Oryzias latipes: one gene and its partner. The protein of the gene in region 2 interacts with the protein of the main gene of each other region in a pairwise test. Links are inferred from orthologs where the notes say so. Each region holds a gene or a part of one and is shown on either strand. Other genes may lie near its edges.

Evidence for each region.
Region 1: the proteins of banp (region 2) and ppic interact in binary tests that used the Homo sapiens proteins (3 or more experiments, as listed by UniProt). The two-hybrid records come from large-scale screens. The link is inferred for Oryzias latipes from reciprocal best matches to the Homo sapiens genes BANP and PPIC.

Annotation. Positions count from the first base shown.
Region 1 is NC_019867.2:29,491,269-29,495,388, reverse strand, and holds the start of ppic (peptidyl-prolyl cis-trans isomerase C), read right to left. Parts: upstream 2,937-4,120; 5' UTR 2,823-2,936; coding exon 2,727-2,822; intron 1-2,726. UniProt on the Homo sapiens protein: PPIase that catalyzes the cis-trans isomerization of proline imidic peptide bonds in oligopeptides and may therefore assist protein folding.
Region 2 is NC_019864.2:22,003,341-22,006,993, forward strand, and holds part of banp (protein BANP), read right to left. Parts: intron 1,471-3,653; coding exon 1,312-1,470; intron 1-1,311. UniProt on the Homo sapiens protein: Controls V(D)J recombination during T-cell development by repressing T-cell receptor (TCR) beta enhancer function. Binds to scaffold/matrix attachment region beta (S/MARbeta), an ATC-rich DNA sequence located upstream of the TCR beta enhancer.

The sequences.
Region 1 (4,120 bases), on a different chromosome or scaffold from region 2:
GCTAATATCAGCCGCTACAGGCACCAATAGATATATTGCCCATCCCTAATTGTTATAGAGACGTTCTTGTACAAAACATCCCCAAAATCCATCACAGGTAAGAAGGTTGCACATACCAGAATATTATGAGGGGAAAGCAGGATTAATACTTGCTTATACTTGGATTACAGACAGCAGAAACCCTCGTAAGCGGATAGACAGTCAGAGAAGTTCCTGCAGGTGAAGGTAAGCAAAGATCTGCAATCCAAAACTCAGACTTATGGACACTGAACATGGAACTGAAAAGGGTTTCTCTGTCATAATAAACTCATTTCTTCTTTTACATTTGGACAGATTTGAATCTATCAGCATGACCGAAGGTCGTCTTCAGTGGTTCAGGGGGGAGGGGGATGGCGTGGGGATAGGCTCTTGCACACTCTTCTTGCCACGTGATTTTCATCTTAAGGCCACAGTCTCTATTCCACCGCTTCTTCAATGAATACTGTATTTCCAATAAACATCATGTTTGAATAGGCGTTCGTGACAAATAAACACCAGGCTCCATAGACCATATTTAAATGCCGGAATGTTTTAAATAAACACCTGGGCTACTACTGGAGGATATACGGTTCTGTACTGTATTGTACCTTATGCAATCCCAAGATGTATGTGTGATTGCCTGAGTTTGGAGCTAGTTGTATTTTCCTATGTTCTGCAGGGGACTTGTTGGTCTGATGATGTTGTTGTGCTAAATTCAGACTGCTGCCGGCCACTGCTCGAGGCATTGCTGGAAAGAAAGTTCAGTAGACAATCAATGTACCTGTTTTTCATGCTTACAGTAATACCGTATTCTGCTTTAATTATACTGTACTGCTGTACTTATAATATCAAATCCTGACATTTTCATCAGGGGTTGTTGTCTATGGGACCATACTGTCTTTTACTAATAAATGAACCCAATTTCCCATCACCATTTTGTCTGCTAAGCTGATAATAGTCAGTCTCCAACAACTCCCGATGTCAACACCCTGGGCTGTTTGAACTTTTTTCTTTTTAACAAAGGTGGGGCTACTCCTGGAAGATATTTGGTTTCCTGGTTCTAGTTTGGTACTTAGTTTGCTCCCAACTGGTCTTTACTAAATTGCTGGTTTAAGTGTTCAGACTAGGGCCTCACTCTTTTTTTTTTTTTTGGACTGACTCTTTCAAATTTGGTCTCTTAATGGAATTCCCTGACCGGACGGATGTTTTGGAAGCTTGATTTCCAGTTTAACATTTTTTCGAGTGCAGTAATATTAATCGTTTCCACAATGAAGCGCAGAATCTGCCGTTATGCAAAACTGTTTTCCTTCGCTTCTGAATCCGCTGATTCATGTTGATGGCGTCAGAGTTACCATCTGTCAAAGAGTGAGAGTTATTCAGATGTCATCGGCAACACTTCCAGAATGAAAGGGTTAAACCAGGTAAACGCTGGTTCATTTGAGGTAGGAAAGAGGTGACAATCAGAAGCCATGTCTGAGGCTATGAAACCAAAGAACCTGAGGCAAGTCAGGTTTGTGGTTCAGAGTTTTGGAGGCAGCAATGTGGAAACAGGTCAGGGTTGTTGCTGACCATATCTGTCCCCTCCTGACCACTGTCTTCTGATGGCTCCTTCGAGCAGGAGGAGGTTCCATCTGACAGCTGGTCTCCTTACAAGGAGTTCATGGTCCTTTTAGGACCTCAGTCACCAGATCCAAGTAACAGCTGCTAAAGGCCGTCCCACAGCCACAATGGACAGTTCTGTAACAGTTCGGTCTTTCATGATACATGCGGGATATCAGAATCAGAATCAGAAGTACTTTATTGATTCCACACGTCTGATATTTGTGCGTTACAGAAGCAGAATTGTAATCATAAAAGAAAATAGAATAATATAAAAACAAAATAATTGTAGAAAAATAAGGTGGTATAATTTAAAAACTATTTACAAACAGTACAGGCAAAAATGTGCGTAATTCATTAGCGTTTCTTGCTTTCATCATAAATGTGCGTACATGTTCTTTGCATGGTTTATTCGTACTTCGTCAGTGGTTTTAACGTGGTTTATTCGTGTACATCTCTTAAGATTTCACCTCAACTTTACTCACTTTCTCCACCTATATTCACATTTGACCATTTTTAATCTGTGCAATATGCGCAAAATGTACGTAGTGGCCTTTAGTGGAATAACCAACCATGAGATGTTTTCCTGCCAGCATGGACAAGCTTTGTTCTATGAAAGTCTGGACCAACTGAGATCTTCTGAAGTGAGTGTTATTGTCTGTAGATTGATCCAGTTGGAGTATTATATTGACCAAACAGGCATGAAAAATGAGCAGTTTTCCTGAATAAAATCTGTTTTCTGTTGGTTTCTATTGTTGAGTTGATCTGACTGAACATTTAAAAGAAAAAAAAAAAAACTTGAAATAAATTGAGGTCAAACTGAGGCAGCAAGCGCGCGTGCACGGCCCGCGTGAATATCCTTTCTAAAGGCCACGTGTACAGCTGTGTGTTTACGCGCGTGAGCGTGCTCGTGTGGGCTGTCCTACATGCTCACATTCTGGAACAAATCTGCGCACACGCGGGCAGACACAAGCGTCTGCACAGTCACGCGCACTCACGCAACCACGATAGAGCATTGCACGCGCGTCAAGAAGCCCGCAGCTGCTGCATCACCGACGGAGAGGCGCGTGCATGAAACGATGCGGTGCTCCTGCCGTCACGTCACCCACCTTCTCCGTGACCCTCGGTCCTCTGCGGGACGCCGCGTGCAGCCAGGAGGCGGAGAGGAGCAGCAGGAGGCCGCGGAGCACCGAGCCCACATCCATGCTGAGGGGAGCACCGAGGCGGAGGCAGCCGGAGCCGCTGACAGGCGAGCCCGCAGACGGAGCTCCGAACCCCGTCACAGCGCTGAACCACGCCCCCTGTGGGCCGAGCCTGGATCAGAGCCCCGCCCACCGAGGAAGAGGAGGACGAAGAGTGCCGGAAGGTAGCAGAGAGAAACGGTAAAATAAAGGAAACGTGAAGAAAAACAGAAACATAGTTGAGAATAAATTGAGTAAAGATCACCACGTTTATATGTTCTGCGTTCAAGTGAAATTCAACTTCAATTGATTTTTTACCGTTTTTAGTCTGTTCTAAGGCAATGTACGGTGTATTAATATTTTCTTTATGGGATTTGTTTATTTATTTGACATTCTTAAGTTGTTTTCTTTTGAGTTTAATTTCATTTACTTTCTGTAGCGTTAACCAAGTTTAGATTTGGGTGACCTTCGTTGAGATGTGTATGTTGGAATAAAAAAAGGATCTTCTCACTCATCTCAATTCTATGGAGCCCGTATCCTGACATTAAGATATTAAAATGTATCTTGTTCCCACGGATTAATATCTTGTTCCCACAGATTATTATCTCGTTCGCACGAAATCCTATTCCGTTCCCACAAGATACTATTCCGTTCCCTCAAAATGATAAACTCGTGCGAATGCAATAATTATTTCGTTCGAACGCAATAAATGATTAACTCGTGCGAACGCAATAATTATTTCGTTCGAACGCAATAATTAATCCGTTCGAACGCAATAATTATTCACGTCATAAGTCATTCACGCGGATATGCTATCTGTACGCCGGCAAAAGCCACTTTCAGCGGGAACTTCCGTGTCTCTGTGACCCACATTCGTTCAAAAAAGGAACATGAAAAACAAAAATGATCACTTTATTACTGTCTCAATGAATATAAGAAAAATATCAAAAGATTTATGATAACTAGGCTGCTTTGTCATACGATAGCTCCTGCTAGGCTACTACTAGCGCCGCCGCAGAGCTCTTTGACGTATGCCGGCATTTGGGCAACTGGCTGGTCGGTTGACAGACAGACAGCTGATATTGTAGTTTAGGGTCGAATAGGAATAATAATATTCAGGACTTGTATTTGATTAACTTTAGCAGTCAGTCGCTTTACATTCGAAGGCTATTAGGCTACATGCTAACTAACTAGCCGATCATTTATCCTGTTATTAATTTACGTCATAGATTTACAGCAGATACCTTCACATTTCTGTTTGTCAAGACCAATGATTGGCCGCTAAGCATGCTGGGAAACGTGACGTACATCGAGACAATATC
Region 2 (3,653 bases):
CTGTAGTCTTTGTAAAAAAAAAAAAAATTAAATAAAAGGGGGGAAAATGTGCACAAAGAAAATGAAAACATTCGTGCCATCACACCTAACGTGAAGCAGCTCAGCTAAATTTCTGCGCTTTGTGCGCCAACCCACTAACCAAGTTTGCAGAGGCCTCTCATCACCCCATGCCTGAAAACCCACAAAGAAGATATTATCCTCAAACACATAAGCACAATTTCAAATGTTTGCTTTTAGGATTTCAATACCCAAAAAAAACAAAAAACCTTAGGAAGGCTTTTTGGACAGATTTGTTTCAAATCCCAAAAAGAAGTAAACAGACAACTTTGAGCGAGACAGCAGAATGCAGACTTTGTTTCCGAGTAATAAAGAACATTCATCAGATGTTGATTTTCAAAGTAAGACTTTCTCTCATCTTTCATTGTTACAGCTGTGTACCATATTATGTAAATAACTATTAGGACTTTCATTTACCAGATAATGAAGGATGTGCCAGGTGGTTCATGTAGACTCAACCTGACAGTTTGCTAATAAATAGGGGTTTGGAAAGCATAAGGAGTGCCTCTTAATGCGATATTAACATTCTACTTCACTGAATACAGAATGCACGTGTGTGATTGACACGTTGATAGATGCACCATGTGAACTAACATTTGTGGAATGAAAAGACCTGACAAATGCACCCCATTGTGTGTGTGTGTGTGTTCACAGGATTTGCGAGTTTCTTCATTTCCGTGATCAGAGGTGAAAGGTGACACCTCACTGGGAGGGAAGGACAGAGAGCATTGTGTGTAGATTACAAACATCTGCACTCATCCAGGCTGTAACAGACTGCACTTAGGTTAGGATTCAGAAATTGCTTTCATATAGCAGATGAGGTAAGACAAAAGCTCACTTCCTGCCTAAAAGAACTGGTTGTAAGAAGAAAAAAGGTTCCCAACTTGGGCGGTCTGGAAAGAAATGACTTCTTTTTGTAGGGAAAAGGTGGCTTTTCTTAGCTGCAAAAGGAAAAGGAGGTTTCGACAGGATCTACGGTGATGCTGAACCTAGTGGTGTGTCGTTGGATGACAAAAAAAAACTACATTTTATAATGTTTTTGTAAGATGATTTTAGACCAAGTAACATGTCGGGTGGTATTTTTTTTTTTAATATCCATACTAAAAATGATGTTATTTAGCTGTACGTAAAACCTTAAGATTTAAAAAAAAAGTCAAATTAAATTCCCCTTTACACACTTTAGTTGGTCTAACAAACTGTCAAAGACCGTTTTCTAGGATATTCATGCTAAAGTTTCCTAATAATCTCTTTTACCTGCAGCCGAATTACGAGGCGTGCGTTTGGAGAAGCTCTTGACCGCCAAACTCTGACCACGCTGCTTACGTCTCCAAGCAGTGCGACATTTTGAATCAATGCTCTGCTTGATCCGGTACCAGTCCGATTCAGAGATGCCAAATTTATGGAATAAGTGGCCTGTAGAGAAATGGAGACATGATAGAATTACAGATACAGTTTAAATATAATAGGCAGAAAAAATATAAAATTAACTATAAATACATGAGGGAAGCGCAACAAAGAAAAAATAAAGATTTGACTTATGTGGATTGTTCTGTTGTCTGGAAACACCTGGCTGTGGAGATTTGAGGAAGTTCTGGATGGGACGTTGGAGGAAAGACTGCTTAAGATTAATTGCTAAAGCTGTGTCTGGAGAGCGCACCGGCATTTGTTTCACTGCTGGCGACCCTTTCTAGCAGAAACTGCAGCCGCAGTAATCCTCTCGGCATCATCAGAGATTTAGTTTTGCAGAAACGATAGCTGCACATGTAGGTCTTAGTGCTGAATGTTTTCCAGTTTCCAGCTTGGAAACACAAAAGGAGTCAGACAGCAGTTTGACAAAGCCTGGATTTTATTGCAAGAATTCATGTTCCTGCTCCCCCGATCAAAACCTTTCCATTTCTGATGATATGTTTGAAAACTATTGTTATTCTATCATTTCTCTAATGATTTCTACTTTCATTAGAGGTTTAAAGGGTCATCATTTGATTTGATTTGATTTAATTCATTGAATCTCTGATTTATTTGGAATTTTGATTTTGAAAGAGTTTTCACAGATCTAGTCGTTTCAACTAAGGAATGTTATGGCATTCATTACGAAAATCATTTCAATTCTTAACGTTGACTTTAAAGAAATTTACAGCAACAGCATTTTTCTGTTGCATTTTCATAAAATTACCTTTTTTTTAAGCTCATCTGAGAATTTTATAAATAGAATAGCATTGTGCTATGAAAATAAATTGATTAAATAAATGTAATTCAGTTTAGTTATATTATTGCTAAGGAGACTCTGGGAAAGGCTATGTATGAAAACAATCAAATTGCCCAAATGTTAAAAAATAATTATTCTTAATAATAACAAAAATAATACAATTCACCTAACAGTAAAAATGAATCATCTTCACCTTTCACACCTGCCGGCAAGTTAGCACAGGCCTGACTGTCCTGCATCACCCTTTTAACCTGAACTGCTTGACAGCTCATTTCTATGTAAGCTATGGCAAAGCACAGCATTTCCAACCTGAGGCTAGAAAACTGAAACAAAAGGAGAGCTGAGGGATCTGAAGCTTCTGGAATCAAATTATATAGCAGCATTTGTTTGCACATGATGGGTCCTGCAGAGGCAAGCAAAGCAGGTGCACCTTCAATCCCTTTTTCTTTCCTTTTTTTTTTTTTGGGCGAGGCAATTAGATCCTACAAAAGTAACCCTGTTTCTACTGCAGTCTCTACACGTGCCTGCAACCACAAACACAAACTACCAAGAAAAAAAGGCTTATTTGTTTTTCAGATATCAATTCATTTGATTTTTTCGCTAATTTCTAAAATGTCTCACTGTGTTTTTTTTTTTTAATATGTGGGTGGACTTTAACAAAAGTCCTTTGAAAAAGACATTCAGAATTATGAGTTTGTATCCTGTTACAGCATCTCCAGTTAAATGTGAACAAATGGTGGAAGGACATACTATGCTTGAACTCTTCTTTCAACCTCAGCACAGCTGATCCACTGCTATGAAGTTAGTGTGAAAGACAGATTTAGTTTTGAATCAAAAACATACAGCCTCCCGCTACCCAGTGTTGAAGAGTAAAAGAGCCAGAAATATGCATCGCTACCCAACCATTAGACATGCACTTCAGAAAGAACTTTAATCCCACATGTGTTACCGGGTAAGATTTACTAAAACCAAACCCAAGTGGGATACACCATGAACTTTTAAACTGCCACAAAAACCATATCAATGTACATTATATGGCCAAAGGATTTGTTTACCGATGAATCTATTCAAGTCCAGACTTTTTGATCAGAAATCAAAGTTGACTGAATTTCGAGTGACTCCATTAAGATATTTCTACCGCACATGTGCATGTCATTTAGAGTCTGGAATGTAGTCAAATGTGTTACACATTAATGTGAGAGCAATGATGAATGCATGTTGTTATAGGCCACCTTGGGAATACAGACTGCAATCTATTTCTGTGTCTTATTGAACGCTGCTTTGTAATGGAATTAGGATGAAAAGTATGAAGGTCTTGGAAAGTTCAGTTACTAAATAACATTTATACATATATTTTGGCAGTGCAGAAATTGTGCAGTAAACATTAATG